Rattus norvegicus: one gene and its partners. The protein of the gene in region 4 interacts with the protein of the main gene of each other region in a pairwise test. Links are inferred from orthologs where the notes say so. Each region holds a gene or a part of one and is shown on either strand. Other genes may lie near its edges.

Region 1 (4,010 bases), on a different chromosome or scaffold from region 4:
CATGATGTATCCTGGTCTTGCATTTCTCTCCCTCCTCTGTAAATCGGCAGGAAAACTTTTATAGTCCTACCAAGTGCCTGCATCCTTGCCTAGGCTAGCTTAGGCTAGGTCAGGTCAGTGTGGAACGGCCTTCCCCAACCTCTGAAAGCCTTCAAGAATCAGAAGCTCACTTTGTACTATGGATTTGATCTTTTCTCTCTTCCTCTTCCTCCTCCTCCTCCTCCTTCTCCTCCTCCTCCTCCCTCCCTCCCTCCCTCTCCCTCCCTCCCTCTTCCTTCAGCCCCCCCCTCCCCCCCCCTCATCTATCTCTGGTATATACCTTCTAAAGCTCTCCTCCCACTGAGCAGTGAAAGTGTGAAGCACTATCCTAATAACACTCATCTGAAGGGTAATTCATGCCCGCTTCTTTCCAATGGGTCTATCACTTTTTTTTTTATAAGTTATGACAGATGGCAATTTCCCACCGGTGGCTATTTAAGACCTTATTAAGACATCTGAATGAGTCCCTATAGAAAGTTTTCAAGATAAGCACTAATCGGCCACGGGGGAAACGCTAGCAGCTCTTACCAAAGTAGTCAAGCCACTTCATGACTTGCAGCGCCTTGGGGAGCCGAAGGACCTCGATGTTGTAGAGATTTTCCACCTCCTTGAGGAGGGTCTGCCTGTCGGACTCAATTTGCTTGGTTCGAACTTGCACTGCAAAGAGGTGAAAGCCGATGGATCCCGCGTCAGGTGTGCGAAGCCGTCGCACCCGCGCCCCAACCCACCCAAAACTCACGATCACGCGAATCCACCCCTTACCCTCGCGGTCGAAGTCCTTTAGGAAGGAGGCGAGCTTCCGGCTCCGCAGTGTGTTGGTCCTGGTCCCGCGGCTGCTGCGTTTCTTAGGAGCCATGACACCAGGGTGCGTCCAGCGAGGGGCCGAGCTGCCGGGTTAGCGAATGAGACCGGGAAAGAGGGCGTGAGTGGTCGGGGAGCAGCGGAAGTTCAGTCGTTGGAGTCTAGGTATCCTGAACTCTGCGGAAACAAACCTGGGGGTCCCAAAACAGACTCAGGAAACCTTACAGCTCCAGCTGAGGGACGGGTTGATCTTCCACTAACCGCCACCCAATTCAAACTCAACGGGCACAGCCTAGCCAATAGCAAATCGTCGTCTTAGGACGGTTCTCACAAAGTCCAATCACAACAAAGCTTCTTCTCCCTCCGTCAGCCAATCCTTATGGAGAACTACAATGCCCAGAAGTCATTGAGGCATACGCCATCTTTTCGCGACTCCAGAGTCGTGCTAACTAGAACTGGAGTGGTGAGTTCGGTCTTGTGAATGAGCAGACAGTGCCAAGCCCCGTGTAGTTTTTGATGTACTCAGTGTTGACAACCCAGGATTTACGTTTTCCTGTTGATTTAGGAACAGGGCTGGAAATCTTAAAGAGAGGAGACAAGACTCCAGAAGCACTGGTCCGGGGATAGACAGACCCCAGGGCTTCGCAATCTAAAGTAGATTGCACTGTCGTTTAGAAACCCCTTCGGAAGACCTGCAGTCCTTCTGCAGAGAACTGGTAAGAGGACCGCCGCAATCTTTATTCTTGAGTGTCAGCGGTGACAAGACAGAGGAGCACAGCTTCACTCTGCCTACTTCAGCAAGGTGAGGAGTTCCCCTAACCTTTTAGGGACTTCAGCTCAGTTGATGGCTCTGAGGCTGGAAAGAACTCAGCACTAGCCAGTCTATGAAGCAGAGTTACATGCACACATTTGATACGGGGGCTCACCATTTAACTCAGGCTAGCCTGGCAGTCTCTGTGTAGACTAAGTTAGCCTCGAACTTACAGAGATCTGCCTGTTTCAGTCTTCCATGTGCTAGGATTAAAGGTACATTCGTCAACTCCCAGCCTAAAGCTTTTAATACAGGCTTAAGCACAGGGATTAAGAGAGAAGCACTTAGGCATAAAATAGAATACACTTGAAGGCTGCTCAAACAATCTCAGAAAGTTAGACATAGTCATGTGGGTCTGGTCTTCTCCAGGGAGATCAACAGTTGACACCATCCCCCGCCCCCCAGTTTCTTGAGACAGGGTTTCTCTGTAGCCCTGGCCATCCTGGGACTGTAGACCAGGCTTGCTTCAAACCCAGAGATCACCTGGCTTTGCCTCCAGAGTGCTGGGATTAAAGTCATATTACATTAGCCGTGTATACTTATTTTGGTAGCTTTCAGGTTACATCTCAAAAGGGTTTCTAAAGAACCCTTGTTATTCTCTTCAAACAAAAAGTTGTTTGAGAAGAGAAGTAAGTGAGAGGGCTTCCAATATTCTCTGATGGTATTACAATCCAATAAAGTGAAATCAGGAGCTCCTATGGTTGTAAATGGAGCAGTGTGTGACCTTTCTCTGTAAATTGGATTTCTGGTGAGATTTCTAGAACATGGAAGGAAGGAAGGCCTTAAGCAGTTGGTTGTAAATGGAGTAGTGTGTGACCTTTCTCTGTAAATGGGATTTCTGGTGAGATTTCTAGAACATGGAAGGAAGGAAGGCCTTAAGCAGTTGGTAAGTATGCTGCTGAAATTCTTACTTCATTGTTGGTCGAAAGTGTCAACCTGCTTCCAGGACGAAGAGTTCTTTTCTGTGTCACCTAGAGTCTCCCTACCTTTCAATATTGCCTTGGGACTATTTGAAAACCAAATCTGGTCTTCTCATGAGGTCAAAAATGACTCACCCTTGATGTAGGCTCTCCCTTTTTGGTACCCTGACTCTCTTTTGTTTTGTTTTGTTTTGTTTTTCTACCCAGAAGATGGCTCATGACCAGCCGCTGCTGGTTGTGCAGGAGGCCCTGAAGAAGTGCTTCCCCGTGGTGGAGGAACAGCAGGACCTGTGGCAGAGCACTCTGCAGGACTGCTTGCCCCTCCTCTCCTCTCTCAGCAATCTGGCTGAGCAGCTGCAAGCTGCACAAAGTCTGCGGTTTGAGGATGTGCTAGCCCTTCGTCCCTTTCCAGACCTGCAGGAGCGATTGAGGCGCAAGCAACTAGAGGCTGGTGACATTGTCCTGGACAAGCTAACTGAGAGGCTGTAAGATGCTCTGTGTCCCCCTTTGTTGATGGACAGATCTTAAGGCTGTAGGGCATCTCAGCCTCAGTCATGGTGGGCCTACAAAAGTTGACAGAAGCAAGTCAGGAGTAATCATGCAGGGGGCTAAGATTGAATGTCTGTAAGTTCGAGGCCAGCCTGGAGTAGGTTGTTTTAAAAAAACCCAAACCAGGCCAAGTGTTTAATCTCAGTACTAAGGAGGCAGAGGCAGGCAGATCTCTGAGTTCAAGGCCAGCCTGGTCTACGTAGAGAGTTCCAAGACAATCAAGGCTACACTGACAGACCCAGTCTCAAAATAAAATAAGTAAGTAAACAAACAAATAAAAATAACCCCAAACCAATTACATAACTGAAGAAATGACAAAAGCAGAAAAGAAGAGGAGAGGAAGAAGAGTCTTCCTTGGTATTCTGTAGAGTCAGTGAGAGCCAGGATTAAAGACTGTATGTACAGGACCTTGTACACCCCTGGCTTAACCCTGCTTATGCATTTGGAAGCAAGAAGACAGAAAATAAACTGATTGTCCTGATCACAGAGCCAGTGAGAATTAGAGCCGGGATTCTGAAGTGTGCCTGCCACTTAAGCTGGGCTCCTCACCACCACCTCCTTCTACACACAAGTGGATACATGTGTAACCAGTCCACAAAACAGTAACAACTCAGGCGTTACTGATACTCTGTTTTCTGTTTGTTAAGTCACAGTGTATAAGCAGGACTTACAGACTTGCTGGTTTTGGGTTGTTTCCTGTTTTTACACTGTAAGACACAGCCGGATCTTTAGAGCTAGAGTTCTGGGCTGGGAGATTCCTTGTCCATTGGGAAGTTGCAGTCTTTGTTTTAGTGATGAGTCCCTTTGCGTCAGCATTAGAATGATATGTAGGCACTGCTAAAGGCACCTTATATACACCATCATATTTCTCTCTCTGGTGACAGTGAATT
Region 2 (4,297 bases), on a different chromosome or scaffold from region 4:
CTGATGCCTCTCCTTATTTTCTATTCTAGGTTCCCCTTCTATCAAGATCCGACATTAACAGGATGGAGTCATTCTGGCTGAGAAACCAGCCTCCTCCCTCCATCTTTAGTTAAGTGTTTTGTTTCCATTTTCAGAGATTCCTTTCCTTTTATTTTATGTGTGGGAATGTTTTGCCTCCATCTACCGTGTACATATCATGTGTGCGACCGGCACCCACAGAGGTTAGGAGAGGCACCATGTTGGTGCTGTGAATCGCACTCAGGTCCTCCGCAAGAACATCAAGTTCTGAGCCGTCTCCCACCGATTTGTTTTTGTTTAATTCCGAAACCCACCTCCCAGCCTTCTCAGCATCTTCCGTGGCCGGTTAAGATTCTTTTCTCGTAGGATCTTTCAACAGCTGTGAGTAGGATTGGTCAGGCATTTTCGTGGGGTGGGGGTGGGAGTGGGGGTGTGCAAGTGGATTTGTGGTTGTTGAACCAGGGGCAAGCTCCGCTCACTGTCACAACATCATTTATCTGTGTGGTAAAAACTACTTTCCTCCTCCTTTCTGTACAGCCCTATGTAGAGGAGCAGGCTCTCTATATTGAGTGCAGAGAGACAAGTTTCTTTTCCAAGAAAGTGGGTTTCTGCTTCGGTTGCTTGAAGTTGCTCTGCTCCGGAGACTTGTGGACCTATTTCATCGGCCATCTGTTCACGTTAGATGAATAACTTTGTGTTACCATCCAGTGCCACCTCGTTCCTCAAATTCTTCCGGCTTTAGGCACCCGGAGCTCTTTGGGTGACTTCCTAGCATCAATGCACACATCATTTTTCTGTTTTAGATGGTTAGCCTTCGCCGTGTTTGTCCAGAGGCTTCCCATCCGCTCACCCGAAAGCCCCTTTTCTCTTTCCGAGTCTCTAGTAGGGTGTCAGGCTACGAGGACGAGGTCGTGGCAGTACCCGTGGATGCCCCACTGACAGCAGGCGGGAAGGGACTAGTGGAAGGCGGGGCTCAGTGTCTTCAAGATCCACAACCTCCGGTTCAACCATCGCGCGGGTCTCTGCAGGCGCAGCCACACCCACGCTCAGAAACGGTTTCTAGCGTCCTAGCCTCGGAAATGCTCTGGACTGCAAATGTCATTCATGCCGAGGGGTTTTCCCTTGGAAAGTCCGACGAATCCCGCTCCGCCCATCTCTCCATCCCAGAGCACCGAAGAAGACAGAGGAAGTTTCCCGGGTGGTCCACACGGTCGCCCGCAGCATCTCGGGGCGCACAGCAGTGGAGGGAGGCTCGTGTCTAGGTTCTCAGCCACCCGCACCGTGGCGACTCTCGTCCGTGAGGACGAGAAACTGCGCGCCCAGCCCAGGGCGTCCCCGGGGCGGGGCCTGGTCCCCCAGCTGTGCAGGCTCAGCGCGGTGGGGGCGGAGCCAGCAGCGCCAGATGCGGCCGGGGTGGCGCAGAGCTCGGACCCGGCTGAGAAGCGCAGCCCTGGCCATCAAGAAGCAGAAGAGGCAGAGCCTCCGGGACGCGAGCATTGCGTGTCCTCCCGGCGTCCGGACGCTGGATCAGCGCCCCGCCGGATCACGGTTCGTTTCGTCACGGGAGTGTGCTTTGGTTCTCAAACTCTTTGGGCATCGGGGACCCGGGTGCGGGGCTGGCTGGAGTGGCGGACCTCACTGGCCCAGGGCAGGGATGCTGCCCAGCAGCAGGTGGGTTTGGGGTGTGGTTCCCTCTGCGCCTCTAGGTACCTTCAGGACGCGGCTTTGGGTTTCACTCCTAGAGCCAAAAGCTTTTTAAGTCTTTGAGAATCTAAGGCTTTATCAGAAGTGCTTCAGAAATGACTGGTGTAGTCAGTTTTATTGTTTTATTGAATGGAGGTGCTTCTTTTCCGTTTGGTTGCCACTTTCTCAAGCACATCAGAATGGGCACTTCTCCACTTGAACTTGACAGTATGACTCAGGAGCCAGGAAATATGGGAACATTGATAAGGCGTTGAAACAGCCCGCACAGAAGATTTGGGGGAGTTTGTTTTAGGGGGGAGCGATCTGGTGGCTTTGCTTAAAGAACCACACTACGGAATTCTTTTGGCTTCTTTGGCCGAGACCAGCTGAGACCTGCGTTTTACTTCCTGTGGCTCTCTCACACTTAGTAGAGCATTTCTCAGCAGAGGGAGGAGCTGTTGTTTCTACACGGGTATCCACAAATGAGTCAGAAGGCGACTATAATTGCAAGGCTTTGTTAATACGCTTTTGAAAAGCGAGGTTGGATCCCTGTACTTAGAATAAGAACGGAGATGAGTCTGGTGCTGTCAAACTGGGGCAGGCGGCCTAGGAAGTAGCTATTCAAGTTTTCAGTTTCCTAGAGCGTCTGATGGGACAACATGCCAGCTAGGGTCACTAGGCCGATCTGAGATAACCCTTAAAATCATGTGCTTTCCCACAGAAGCTGAAGAGAAAATTAATTCCATTATCCAATAACCATTTGTTTTCACTGGTTGGTAGAAACTGGGCATTTAGTGGAGTGATTGTAAGTTACTCCGAAATTTAAAATATTTCAGAAAGTTTATTTTTTTTACCAAGTTAGTACTTTAAAAAATATAGAGAGAAGCTTTTGAAGAAAGTAGATGGTTGCTAGAGCCAGACATTAATATGCTCTTAGAAACAGACTTCCCTATCTAGAAGCTAAGCAGAGGCAAGAATAACTGTGTATCTTGGCTGAGCTGAGGTCAGCCCTAGACAGCAGTTACAAGGTTCTGGTCTGTTCTTTTCCTCAAGTTCCATGTGTACAATCCCAGGCACAGTGCTATCCTGACAGCCAGAGCCACAGCTGAGCTGATTTTCCTGGAAATCCAACATTGTGAGATGGGTGCTATTGTGTTTTATAAAAAAGAAAAAGAAGTCAGGGATATGTTTAGTAGAGGTGTGGGGGAAGGGGGTGCCTCTGTGGGTCCATGCTGAGGCATCCCTTTCCCCTGAGGGACCATCCATACATGGTATAGTATAAGAGTATAGAATAGAGTTTATTTAGGGCATGGGGAGGGGAGTGGACGGGGTAGAAGAAACAGAGAAAGGAGAGAGAGAGAGAGAGAGACAGAGACAGAGACAGAGACAGAGACAGAGACAGAGACAGAGAGACAGAGAGAAACAGAGACAGAGAGAGACACAGAGAGAGACAGAGACAGAGACAGAGAGAGAGGAAGGAGGAGGAGGAGGAAGAGAAGGAGGAAGAATAGAGAGTAGAGGCAGGCTTTGATCAGGTATAGAGGCGGGTAGAGGAGAATGGGGAGAAAAGGGACAAAGAGCAAAAGAGTGAGGAGGGGGCAAGCAGCCCCTTTTATACTGAGTCAGGTATATTTGGCTGTTGCCAGGTAACTGTGGGGCAGAGCCTAGAAGAAATGCCAGCAGGTGCTGTGAGAAATTTACACCCAAAGGAGGCGCCCCAGTGTGGAGGATCAGAATATCCTGGATCACTCTTGGGACAGCAAAGGAAAGTCTGGGTTCCCATCATCTGCTTGTCTTGGTTGGCAGCCAGGTTTTCACTCAATACATACATGATTTGAAAAGCATATTTGTATGTGCATATGTGTATGATTTAAAGAACATACTAGTGAGGCGTGGCGTTTAAAGTGTTTGAATTAACCGTGTTTTGTATTGCTCGGTAGCTGTGTGAAAGCAAACCCAGTCTGTTATCATCCCTGGGCACTTATGGGCACTTTCCTGTGTCTTTTAAACAACAGGGAGTGACTTACGAGCCATTGGTGGCTTTCTGCTCATCGGTTGTTCCTTATCTGAGGACTGGCTTCACTTCCTTGATTTTTATTACCCGAGCTCTGAAACGTGAAATAGAAAGTTCCAGCAATAATAGTATGCATCTATTTATTTTACTTGAGACGTGGTCTCACCGCGTAGCCCTGGCTGACCTAGAATCCACAGCTATCTCTCTGCCCGCTTCTGCCTCCTGAGAACTCGTATTAAAGGTGTGTGCCACCACACTTGGCAGTGAGATGATGCTCTGAGAGAGGGAATACATCCACACCAAATTAATTAGAACCATATCGTTGTAATTGCTCCACTATTAATTCTTGTTCATCTCTTACTGTGCATAATTTATGAATTTAAACTTTATCTTAAATACGCATGCACGGAGAACAGCAGAAATAGGTGTCAGGCGTTCACCACAGTCTCTTGGCTCAGATCCCTGAGGGTTAATTTCCCAGTCCTCTGAGGTGGCCAACTAGTAAAAGGCTCCATTACCACATCTTTCACCTCTGTCTCATCGCTCCCTCCGCAGCCTCAGAGCCACATCTTCTAGAGGAAA
Region 3 (4,004 bases), on a different chromosome or scaffold from region 4:
GCACTGGATTTCATGACCCCGCCGAGGCGGTGGTCCAGAGACTGGTACTCCCGGAGCCGCCGCAGCCCGCGCGGAGGACCGTTCCCCGCCCGGCCGCGCGCCCATTCCGCGTCTCCTCCGGCAAACTCCAGGGACCCGCTGCAGAAGTCGCTTTTGTTAAGGCCTCCAAGCAGAGAAAAGGATGAAAGAACCGTTACCTGGGCACTGCGGAGAAAATGACGCGACCGCAGAAACCTAGCCAAACCGCCAGCAGATACCCGCCACCGCTACCGGACTCGACCCCACCGAACGCCTGACGCACATCTGATGCCGTCACTTCCGCCAGTTGCGCTCTCGACTGGAGCCCGGCTTGTTGTGCTTAAACTGTGAGACACTCGTGAAAGAAAGGGGTTGGGTTGGTGTCCCAGCATTTTCGGGACCAGGCCTCTGACCGCCCTTTCTAGCTGTCAAAGAGAGATGTAGAGTGTGTAGCGGGAACAGTATTGGGGATGTGGCTATGGGGATCAGGCTCAAGCAAGCGTTCTACCACTGAACTGTATACATCCTCGATCTTCCACGTGTTGTTTTTGTTTTTTTGAGAGTTTCTCCTTGTCGCTCTGGCTGTCTTGGGACTCACTCTTGTAGAACAGGCTGGTCTTGAACTCAAGAGATCGCTTGGCAAGCTCACTGGGTCCTCCACTTTGCTCTGTAGAGTTGAATGATAGTAGTAGTTGCCTCTTAGAGATTTGTGAGATGGATAACGTGAATGGCAAGCAGACGCTTCTTATTATGTTCTCAGTAAATGTCAACTTGCGTCCAAAGAGGAACAGCAAAACAAGCGGCTTTGTAGTCACAGACTCATTTCTATTTTAACTCTGCTACTACCAGCTCTCGTCCTTGCTGTCACAAGAAAACGTCAGCTGTTTCTTAGACTGGTTCTTAATGCTTGATTTGATTCCAACATACCTTAATTTTTTCCTTCCATGGTTCACCTAGGCATATACATGTGTTGTTGTGCTTACTCCCCCCCCCCCCGGTGTGTGTGTGTGTGTGTGTGTGTGTGTGTGTGTGTGATAGAGAGAAAGAGAAAGAGAGAGAGAGAGAGAGAGAGAGAGAGAGAGAGAGAGAGAGAGAAGAGAATCTGTGTGTTGTGTATAGCTGTTGAATAGGTTGCCATATGCATAGACTCTAATAAGTACAATAGTATTGTGTATCTATTTTCTCCTAAAGGAAACATTTTCTCTTGGAAGTACAGGAAACCACAGAAGACTGGGGAATTAAGAAAACTTAACAAAGGCCTGACAAGAGACAATTTATGGGAAGCAGATTTATTTTGGCTTAGTGCTTGAGGGGCTACAATCCAGGGGAGAGCATGACACCTGGACTGCATCCACAAATCGGAAGCATAAATTAGATAAATATTAGTTCGCTTCTTTATTTAGTCCGGAAATCCAGGCAATGAGGTGGTACTGCTTATATTTTGGTTGGGTCTTTCCTCTTCTATTAAACCTTCTTGAAACACCCGCATAGACATGCCCATGGGTTTTACCTAGGTGATGCTAAATTCTGTGAAGTTAACAATATTAACCATCAGATTCTGACTGGAAACCTAGTATTGCTTCCTGGGTCTCATGGCTGCATACACCACACAGTTGACTACGCATCCCGATTCTCAGGCCTTGAATGCAGCAGGAACCACTAACCCTTCCCAAACGCTATGCCACTTCACCAATGTGACATCCGAGTTGTCGTTACTCTGTAATTGGGTTAATTTGTTGGTATAGTCGGACTTTTAATTTTCTATCCGCCATGAGTAAATCCAAATGTTTTCTTGGGATTATAAAACAGGTCTCTCGGAATCGGCAGATCCAGGTTGTGCGGTAGTTGGATGCAGGCGTGGACCTCCAAGAGCAGCGACGAGTACAGGCTAGAGGAGCCCAAGGGGCGGGGCGAGGGAGGCGGAAGTGGACCGGTCCCAGCGGCCATTTTGCCGTGAGACAGCAGGAGTTAGGCGCGATGCTTTCCACTGCCGCTTACCGGGACCCGGACCGAGAGCTGGTAATGGGGCCTCAGGGCTCCGCCGGCCCTGTGCAGATGCGTTTCTCGCCTTATGCCTTCAACGGAGGGTAAAATCCTGGGTGTGCTGCGCTCATCTTGGTTGAGTCCTGGGGTCGCTGCGGGCGGGTGTGGGAATGGCGGAGATGTAGCCTGCTGCCCGGCACTCCAGAGTTGTGCATGAACGCCCTTGGTGCCGTTTGCTTCAGCAGGGCGGGTCCCACTTTAACTCTTAGCTCTATGGGCTATCGTTTGGTAGGGCTTAAACACGTTTCTAAAGCCAGCGCGTGAACATGAAGTTATGAATTGTCTTGATTGTTAGACGAGTAGCTGTTTATTATCGCTGAGTCGTCTGATCATTTATTATATTAAAAGGAAAATAATATAATTAGCCAGACCTAATTCCAGGGATGAAAAGTTAAGGTGGTTCTACTCTTGAGAGACGTAATCTGCTGGGCAAGTTCTACTGAGCTGCATCCCCAGCCTTAGACAGTCGGACCCTTTGTGTGTGTTTATTTTTACTCTCAAATTACTTGTGCATTTTAATCATCCGTTTTATTCGAAGGGATGGTCCTTTCAGTTATTTGAGCTACTTTATAGGTTGAGGAAGACTCAAAGTGGTTACTCTTTTTTTGTAAATTTCAAGCAGTTAAGTGAATATTTTATACTCTTAGTTCTTGGCTCTTGGCATTTTAAACAGCCCAGGTCATAGAGCTGGTGTGAATTAGAACTGGTTTTCAGTTCATAGCGTTCTCAGCCTTGTCCAGTTTCGGTTTGCTTTTCCAGTTGCTTAACTCTGCACGTGAACACTAAGTACTTACATCGTAAGGTGTGTTAATATAATAATTTCCAGGTGTTTCAAATGCAGTACTCACGATTCACTTTTTAACTCTCAGTTCTTACCTGTCACTTTGTTCATAGTTACTTAAACCTGCCTGATAAATAACCTTTCTCCTTTCTCTTTCATACCTTTTAGCATTTATTGCAACTAGCCCTTCATGCAGCTTCTGATTCTACAGTATATTAATTTCTCTTTGTAGCTTCCAGGTTTTGTTACTTTAGACCTTTACTTGCCTCATCCCTGGGAACATAATTCCCAAGTCTGTTTCTGTAACTTTATTTCTCAAAAGTCCCCTCAGTTCTGGCCTCGTTGTAAAACCATTTCTAACTGCATTTTCAGTTCTCAACATAACTCAAGTTAGTAAACAAAATAAGCGAGGTAGTTACTGCTACTCCTTCCTTGAACGGACCCCTTGTGATGATGTATGTCATCACCCTGCTTGGGTCAGTTTAAAGGGGTGGGGTATGTTGTTTTCCTCACTAAGCACATTTAGGGAGTAGTAAAACCTTGGTTGCACACAGTGGTATTGTATTTGAATTTGTCCTTCTTCCTCTGTCATCCTTTCTCCCTTCTGTTTCACCACTTGTATTGGAGCAGTATTTATGTCCCATTTCACATGCTGTACTATTGTCAGAATTGTCCTAAAACCTCACTTTGCAAATGGAGCATTCTCATTCTTGTTCTTTGTGACCTTCAGGACTCCTTGCTAAAATTCTAAACTCTAGCTTGGCACAGTCCATCACATGAGGATTATGTCTCTGGTTACACAAAAATGACCACCTTAATTAAGTTGCCTGAGTGGCCTGTGGTGATACTTCTTTTTTCCTTCTGTTGCTGTTCATAGGTATTTGGAATGCCATTCTTTTTTGCTTTGGAATTTTAGTACAAAACTTGCCTCAGTAAAAATAGTAGGTAATGTTTTCTGGATGTTTATTTCCAAGAAGGAAATATGTTAGGTACTCTATGTAACTTGTGTGTTTAATTCTCACACCCTGTGTAACACAACAATACCGTGATTACCATCAGTTTGAACATGAAGATTTAAAAGTCACACAGGTAATAAGTGGCATGAGTAATTTCAGTGCCCAGGTACTTAGTTATCACATAGTGCAGTCCCACTGTATTTTAC
Region 4 (7,882 bases):
TTAGTTTGTTAGTTTAGGAGCTCACTATTTAGCCCCATCTGGCCTCAGACACAGAGCTCTGCCAGCTCGGTCTCCTAAGTGCTGGGATTAAAGGCATGTGCATTAGTTGGGCGTGCATGGATGCTTGCCCACGTATATGTATACGCACATGTGTATACCTGGTGCCTGCTGCCTGAGGACGCCAGAAGAAGGAATCAGATCCTTGTAGATACCACGTGGATGCTGGGAAATGATCCGAGGTTCTCTACAGACTGTCAGCGAATCTTCTGATGCGTGTGTAGAACTAGTTACCAACATGAATTCCAGCGTGGGTACTGGGAACTGGACCCGGGTACCAAGGCAGCAAGTGCTCTAATCCGCTGATAAGTGATCCGCTGAGCGCCATCTCTCCAGTGCCTGCATTAGTGTATCTTTTAAAAGATTTATTTTTACCTGTATGGGTATTTGCATATGTCTGGGCACTGCGGGTATGTCTGCTGCCTATAGAGGACAGAAGAGGGCATCAGATCGGCTCAGACGAGAGTTACGGTCACAAGCCACCATCTGGGTCCTGGGAATTGGACCTGGGTCCCCCCGGAAGGGCAACCAGTGCTCTCAACTGCTGAGTGGTCTCTTCAGCCTCCCGTATTAGTATTTAATATGTGTGTTTGCTGAACGATGTTTGCTGTTGGCCGCTTTGTGCCACTGCATCCTTAGACTGGGCATGGATGCTGAGAAGGGACATACGGGGCAGTAGCCCAGTAGAGGCTCCAGAGAGTCACCAGTGACCTCGCAGGCGTGACTACAAACAGGAGAGCACCAGGCACACAACTTGGGAGCATGAAGTTCCTGGGTTATCTGGGGGTGTTGTCCAGATTCCCCTAAGAGACGGGACTCATGATCCTCTAGTCTTCTTTATATTTTTGAGACAGGGACTCCCTCTGTAGTCTAGGTGATGTGGAGCTCACACCAGATACTCCTGTTCCCACGTGCTGTGGGTTTAGGAATAAACCAGCTTCTGATACACACACACACACACACACACACACACACACACACACACACACACACTCATCCTGCCTTTTCCAAGAGCCAGGATACTCCTGTTCCCACGTGCTGTGGGTTTAGGAATAAACCAGCTTCTGATTCACACACACACACACACACACACACACACACACTCACACACATCCTGCCTTTTCCAAGAGCCAGGAGTAAAGGCAAGTGCCGGTGGTTAGCAGGATGGGTGCTGGGGGAAACGCACACCTTTGAGCCATCCTCTTTCCAGCAGATGGATACAGTCCAGGGCTGCTGCTCTCGGCAGGACCCCAGGGATGATGGTGTTTAAGGGACAGCCTATGTTTCAACATGTCTCTTGGTTCTTGTGAGATTCTTCTGAGGACTGAACTGACCATACTTGTTTCTTTAGTGAAGTCTTCCAGGAGAGTGGGTCTGGTAAGACAACAGTTAAGGAAACCAGAGGGAAGTTAAATCGGGAGGCTGTGGTCATGAGCTGCAGCTCAGATGGGTGGTGGCCCTGTTCTTGAGCTTTGATTATGGGGTATTGGGCTGTGGCTGCTACGGAGGCCTGGGCTCAGCAGTTCTACTGACGCTCCATTCAGAAGCCGTTAGTGACCAGCTTCCAAGTTCATGTCCTTCCGGCCCTGCAGAGCTCTGCCTTATGGGTACGGACGGACGTGTGCCGAAGTGTGCTCCAAGCACAGGGGCAGGACCTGTAGGTCACAGACTCAGTCAGTCCAGCCTTGTTCCAGCCACTAAAGACCGAGTGGTACCTCCAGGACGCTGCAGAAATTCCCAGCCCCCTTTCTGTGCTTCAGCCAGCAGCCCAGAAATAGTAACCTTTGCTCCTGCCTGAAGGCAAATGGAAACTTCCAACTGTCGCCATCCCTGCCACCCCGACCTCCCCCAGCCTGCAGGAGATAGTGTAGCAGTTGGTTGAAGGGCGGGGACAGAATTAAGCTGAGGAGAAATGTCCTAAATACAAGAGATGGAGGGAGGAAGAGGCTGAGGATGTGGCTGACTAGGCACCTGCTGGGCCGATTTTCACTCTTGCGATTCTTTTTCTAAAAGATTTACTTTATCTATGTGAGTACTCTGTCACTGCCTTCAGTCACACCAGAAGAGGTCATCGGATCCCATTACAGATGGTTGTGAGCCATCATGTGGGTGCTGGGAATTGAACTCAGGACCTCTGGAAGAGCAGTCAGTGCTCTTAACCACTGAGCCATCCCTCCAGCCCTTGCAATTCTTTTGATTGGCCTTTTGATGCTCAAAGTTAGAGTGTAGGTCAGAGAAAGTATAAACTGATGGTAGCTATCCGTGCCTCTTTAAGGCACTTGAAGCATGCCTTGCTTGGTGTTGCCTTTGGTTTGCCCACTGGCACTAGAGGGCAGAGATTGATTAGACTGAGAAGGGAGGGAAACAGCTTCAGAGAGGGAGCAGAGTTTGTCTACAGCCACACAGCACACAGATGACATGCTGTCTCTGTGCTTTACCCTCCCTGTACCAAGCATTAAAGAAAAGGTGTGGCGCCTGGCCCTGGGATGTTGTCACAAGCCTTTAGTTCCAGTGGTGACAAGGCAGAGGCAGACAGATCTCTGCAGCTTCCAGACCAGTCAGGGCTACAGCATGAGGCCCTGTAAATAAAATAGAACAAGATTGACACTTGGCTTGAGACAGAAAGGCATTTTCCCAGATGCCCTGTGAACACAAGCACAGCAAAGCCGTGTCTTTAAGGTAAAACAGTCGAGCCTCAGATGGGTCCAGAACGACCTGGAGCCCTTCCTGATCAGATCCTCCTCTGCGGCTGTGACGTTTATCTCGATCCCCCAGGTTTAAGTTGCTCTTGTTTCCGTGTCCGTGGGTCTCTGTGTGCGCACAGCCCCACACCAAGCGCACACACAGACCCCGCTGCCTGTGAGCTCCCAGTTCACCTTTCATCTGTCTTGTGTATTATTACCCTTAAATGGGTTCACGTTCCCCACACCGTCTGGACCCTTGCTTGGCGTCTTTCTCCAAATGAAGTGCCCCACTTTACCCCTCCACTCACCTGCCCCAGCCCAGCCACCTTTGCCTCAGTCCCTTGACCAGGACATGGGGTCGCATTGCCCCTGGATAGCCCCATGGGACACAGCATGCAAGAAGCAGAGTGGCCGTTCTCCTGGTCAGATGGACTCGTGTGTAGCCTCCTGGTTCTGGGAGTGCCATCCTTAGGTGGGAAGCTGTCTACCAAGGTGTCACAGCAGGCGACACTATGACACTATGGGGGAGTGGCCCTAAGACTGCCGTGTGTAGGCAGGACAAGACAGCCACCTGCATTAAGGCTCGTTAGGAGAATGCTGCTCACATGTTGCTGCCCCCTGGAGCCTGAAGGGATAGCACAGACTTTATCTAGGGGACGTAGGTTCTTAGAACCCCTTTTACCGGTGTGGAGACTGACTGTGGTGGCACCCAAGAATAAATTACTGTCATCTTTCTGTAGGATGTTAGTCTGACTTCTCCGGTTTCCAGGCAAGACTCTTTGTCCACACCTCCTTGGTGAAGACAGTGCTTGGGCCCTGGGACCAGAGTGCTCACAACCCCAGGGCAAGGGTCTCTCCTCAGTGCAGTCCCTTCACGAGAGGATTCTGGTTGTGTCTTGGCAGCAGGCCCTGCAGGACAAGGGGTGCGAGAGCAAGAGTCAGGGGACGAAAGAAGACAGACTCCCGAAGAGGCAGGCGCCGGCCCCCAGGCGGGACCGGGAGGCCCCAGAAGCTGGTGGTACCATGAATGTAGAAAAACCAGGTAAAGGAGGTCAGCCCCACTGTCTGACACGCTCTGGCTGAGCGAGTGCAGGAGGGAGAACTCTGTCCCACAGCTGGAAGTGGCTCAGCCAGGCTGGCCACCTGACATGAACCTGAGACTCCGACCAGCCTCGTCCAGATCCATGGACAGCCATGTGTCTGTCCTCTTTCTTGTCCTGCCCCTTGTCCCAGGGCCACCAGGGCCCCACCCAGTGATAAGACTTTGGCCAGTGGAGGTTGGGTTGGATTTCCCTTCTTTTTGTCTTTTCCCAGTACCTACCTAAAGCAGGGCCCAGGAGCAGCCTCGCAGACGCCACCAGTTCCTTCAGCAAAGGCCTGGCTCTGTTCCGGTCAGAGGATCCAGAGGTCAGGGACTCGTTTCCCTCCCTCCAGGCAGAGAAAACTAAGCCTGCAGTTCCATTATCCCCTGACCACTAGGGCACCTAGAACTAACTGGTTTTCAAAGGTTCTCCAGGTTCCTTTGCTGTCTTCTGGGTTTTCAGCAGAAAGTACTGGCCAGTGAACACAGGGAGAGAACATCTTAGGGAGCCTCGGGGCAAGGCCAGGAGTACTGGGGAGAGGTGCTGTTTTCTCAGAGTCTGTGTGTCTGAACTTGCTGGGGTTGCTGGAGGAGGTCCCTCCCTCCTCTGAATCTGAACCAGTGCCTGTTGTGTACAAGCCCTGGTCCATCTAGATTCAGGGCAGGCATAGGGTGTGTAAGCAATGGGCAGTCAGGTTTTCAAAATGGCTACCATCTGGCCAGCTAGGTGGGGTAAGCCCAGAGGAAGGAAGGCTAGGTCCTCCTAGCTCAGGCATAGCACCTGAGCTCTGGGCCCTGTCGTGGTCCATGCCTCTAGAAACTGACCTGTCAGGTGGTAGCTTCCTCAGCAGGGGCTTGTCCTGCTCAAGCACCCTTGGGCCTCACCTCTCCTCCCTTCTTCCCTTAGCTCAGTCCTCCCTTAGCTTCTTCAAGAGTGTCTCTTCCACTACCCATGACTCTGCAGCTTCCACTCAACTCCTGGCCCTCTTACACAGGGTACCATGCTGTGGTCTGGGGCTCAGAGCCTCCCAGGACAGGAGCGGTGTCATGGATGACACTCATACCTGTGTTTCCAATGGGACTCCAGCTATTTTCCCATGGCTGCTTTTGGGCTAGGTGCATTGTCCCTGTTTCACACAGGAAGAGCCTGCAGGGTCCCTCCCATGTGATTCAAGAGGCAAGACCAGCTCTCAGCCCAGCACATTCGGTCGCGCACCGATGCAGTCTGTGGCCTTACTGGTCACATGTCACCCGTGGCAGCCCCGTGTGCTGGCCTAGAAGCATCGGGCTGCCCTTACTCCCTCTAGAATAGATCACAGAGGCTGGACCTGCACTGTGTGACTTTCATGCTGTGTCACATGCAGGGCCACACAGCTGGGGCCACTTGCCTAGCACGGGTTGTCCAGCCCCAGATCTCGGGGGTGGGGGGAGAGGACACCAGCCCCACCCATGGGAGCCTAGCTTCAGCTGCTCCCTCCCATTTCCCTATACTGCCCTGGGGCTTTGCAGAACTGTGGTCAAGGCTTGCTAGTGGTGGGGGTGAGACACAGGGAGGCCCCTCATCTCTGAGGAAGCCAGAAGCTAAGGCAGCATTGAAGTAGAAGGCTCACCAGCTAGCACTGGACTTCTGCATGCCCAGAATCTTTGCAGGGCCCCGACTTGGGATGCTGAGGGGAGGAGGCAAATTCTTTTCTTGTCCTCCTGGACCGCTATTGGTTCTGCATTACACAGGCCAGGCTGTTCTCCTCTTCAGAGCTTTGGAACAAGCACCACAGCCCCATTACACATCACAGCCTGTCTCTCATCTCGATGACAGAACAGTAAAAGGTGTTGGGGGAGGAGTCGGGCTGAGGCCTCGCCTGACTTGGTATTTGTCTTTCTCTTGTGCCTGCATACAGGCACCATCCTGAGAATGTGCTTAACTCCTTGTCTGTTCCACGTGCTGGCCCATCTGTGCCCTGATCTGTTGCTTGCACACATCCCCTTACCCCTCCTCCACACTCACAGGGACCACGTCCCACAGAACAGCTGGCAGACAAAGCCTGGTCCTCTCTGCTGTGCTTTTTTTTTTTTTTTTAAAGATTTATTCATTTTATTATATATAAGTACACTGTAGCTGTCTTCAGATACACCAGAAGAGGGCATTGGATCTCTTTACAGATGGTTGTGAGCCACCATGTGGTTGCTGGGAATTGAACTCAGGACCTCTGGAAGAGCAGTCGGGTGCTCTTAACCACTGAGCCATCTCTCCAGCCCTCTGCTGTGCTTTTGAGAGATCGAGAATGAGCATGGAGAGCCACTTCTGAGTAAGCCTCTATTCTTTCCCAGGAAATCGCCTGAGTGCAGGCCAAATTTCCTACTTTGAGGGGACTCAGGAAAAATTATTTTCTTAAGTCTTGGTTTAGTCAGTTCTGTCCTCTAGAAACTTTTGCTAAAGTGACTTCCCCAGAGGACAACCCGGAGGTCCTCTGCAAACCCATTTTGCTGTATTCTTCAGTCCTCACCCTAGCCCCAATGGTGCGCTTGTTGTGATGGCTGCCTTCCTCCTCCAGGCAGACCTCCACTGTCCTGCTGATCAGCCACTACTTTGCTTGTAGGTGGGCGGCTCCTTGGCATCGGGAGGTGCTCAAGCCTGTCCGGGTCACCAGGCCCAGACCCCGTGGTACATAGGACCGTGGAGGCCATGTCCCAGCTTCAGGAGGAGCTGGTAGTCCTTCGGGAGAGGCTGGCCCTCCATGACAGTGACCGGCAAGCCACAACCACCCAGCTGCAGAACCAGGTACCTGGGGAGGCAGGGATGAGCAGAGGCCACTCACTGCCCTCTGGAGCAGGTCAGAGGACATTGTCAGGGTACCTAGACTCCACCAGAAGCCAGATGGTGACCCTTTCCTGGTCTAGGAAGATGCTGCAGGGCGAGGAGGTTCAAACTTGGCTTCTTACTGCAACAAGGGCCTTTAGCACCTCAGTATCTTCCCAGCCAAAAGGTTTTCCTCTCTAATTGATTAAATCTACTTGCTTATTAAGGGGGGGAGTTGAAAGTGAACTGCCCAGACTCTCTGGTCTCCCTAGCCCCACTCGCTCATCACCTGTAAGGAGGACGCCCAACCTACCTGACGCCTCAGGCCTCAGATGACTTACGGATTCAAACCGGTACCTAGCCTCTGCTTGGGGTTTTTTGGTGAGCTTTTTGACTATGTGTTTATTACAGTGTTCTTAAGGGATGATCCCTGTAGCTCTGTACCCATTAGCTGTGCTCTGTAGGGTCCAACCCTGTGGAGACATGGCCAGCCTCCTGGGCCTGGAGCTGTGAGTAAACCCTGACTGTCTGGGAGCACTTACTAGTCCTGGGCTAGATAACTACCAGTCTGCGCCTCTTTTCCTCATCTGCAGACAGATAACAGGATCCAGATGTGCTAGCACCTGTCGGGGCAGATGTGGCTCTGGAACTCTGGAAATAGCTGTCTGAGGCTGTCTTGGCTGTGAGGCTGTAGGGAATGTTGTCAGTCCTGTGAGCCCCATTTTCTGATTTCTAACCAGGCTGATGACTATCAGATGGGCTGGCTGTAAGAGTGGACAGGAAGATGGTTATGAACTATAAAGTGTGGTGTCCTGTAGGGGGCTGTCGCTGGACCTCACTGTGGGTTTTGTTGTTTTGTTTGTCGGCTGTTGGTTTTTCTGAGATAAGCTCCCCGATCTAGCCTAGTGTGTCTTGGAACTCACTAACTAGACCTGTCTATCTTGCTGTCACCATGAACGTCACAGTCGATAGTAGCCACCTTCTGGGCACGGTGAGTAATACTGCTACCAACACCGAAGTTCCTGCTTTCAGTTCTTTGGTGTGTATGCCCAGAATTGGGATTACAGAATAGTGTAGGGCTTCGTTCTTTGTTCTTGTTTATTTAATGTTGAGACGTGGCTCTCTTTTCCTTGCTTTTTTTTTCCCCCTTCATTTTTTAAAAGACAGGACCTCACCGTGTGGCTCTGGTTGTCCTGGAACTCCCTGTGTAGACCAGGCTAGCCTCAAGCTTTCAGACTCCTAGAGACCTACCTCTGCCTTCCA

Evidence for each region.
Region 1: the proteins of Kifc3 (region 4) and Airim interact in binary tests that used the Homo sapiens proteins (3 or more experiments, as listed by UniProt). The two-hybrid records come from large-scale screens. The link is inferred for Rattus norvegicus from reciprocal best matches to the Homo sapiens genes KIFC3 and AIRIM.
Region 2: the proteins of Kifc3 (region 4) and Stx11 interact in binary tests that used the Homo sapiens proteins (3 or more experiments, as listed by UniProt). The link is inferred for Rattus norvegicus from reciprocal best matches to the Homo sapiens genes KIFC3 and STX11.
Region 3: the proteins of Kifc3 (region 4) and Psmb1 interact in binary tests that used the Homo sapiens proteins (3 or more experiments, as listed by UniProt). The two-hybrid records come from large-scale screens. The link is inferred for Rattus norvegicus from reciprocal best matches to the Homo sapiens genes KIFC3 and PSMB1.

What each region holds. Positions count from the first base shown.
Region 1 is NC_086023.1:142,482,177-142,486,186, forward strand, and holds the start of Airim (ribosome biogenesis protein C1orf109 homolog), read left to right. Parts: upstream 1-1,210; 5' UTR 1,211-1,556; exon of another isoform or gene 1,557-1,642; intron 1,643-2,778; 5' UTR 2,779-2,781; coding exon 2,782-3,056; intron 3,057-4,010. Other genes in the region: Cdca8 (borealin), read right to left, coding at 568-696, 802-895. UniProt on the Homo sapiens protein: Part of the 55LCC heterohexameric ATPase complex which is chromatin-associated and promotes replisome proteostasis to maintain replication fork progression and genome stability.
Region 2 is NC_086019.1:9,137,420-9,141,716, reverse strand, and holds the start of Stx11 (syntaxin-11), read left to right. Parts: upstream 1-1,497; 5' UTR 1,498-1,566; exon of another isoform or gene 1,567-1,689; intron 1,690-4,297. UniProt on the Homo sapiens protein: SNARE that acts to regulate protein transport between late endosomes and the trans-Golgi network.
Region 3 is NC_086019.1:65,132,744-65,136,747, reverse strand, and holds the start of Psmb1 (proteasome subunit beta type-1), read left to right. Parts: upstream 1-1,204; 5' UTR 1,205-1,442; intron 1,443-1,827; 5' UTR 1,828-1,995; coding exon 1,996-2,105; intron 2,106-3,912; exon of another isoform or gene 3,913-3,931; intron 3,932-4,004. UniProt on the Homo sapiens protein: Non-catalytic component of the 20S core proteasome complex involved in the proteolytic degradation of most intracellular proteins. This complex plays numerous essential roles within the cell by associating with different regulatory particles.
Region 4 is NC_086037.1:9,901,727-9,909,608, forward strand, and holds part of Kifc3 (kinesin-like protein KIFC3), read left to right. Parts: intron 1-3,644; coding exon 3,645-3,783; intron 3,784-5,927; exon of another isoform or gene 5,928-6,419; coding exon 6,420-6,601; intron 6,602-7,882. UniProt on the Homo sapiens protein: Minus-end microtubule-dependent motor protein. Involved in apically targeted transport. Required for zonula adherens maintenance.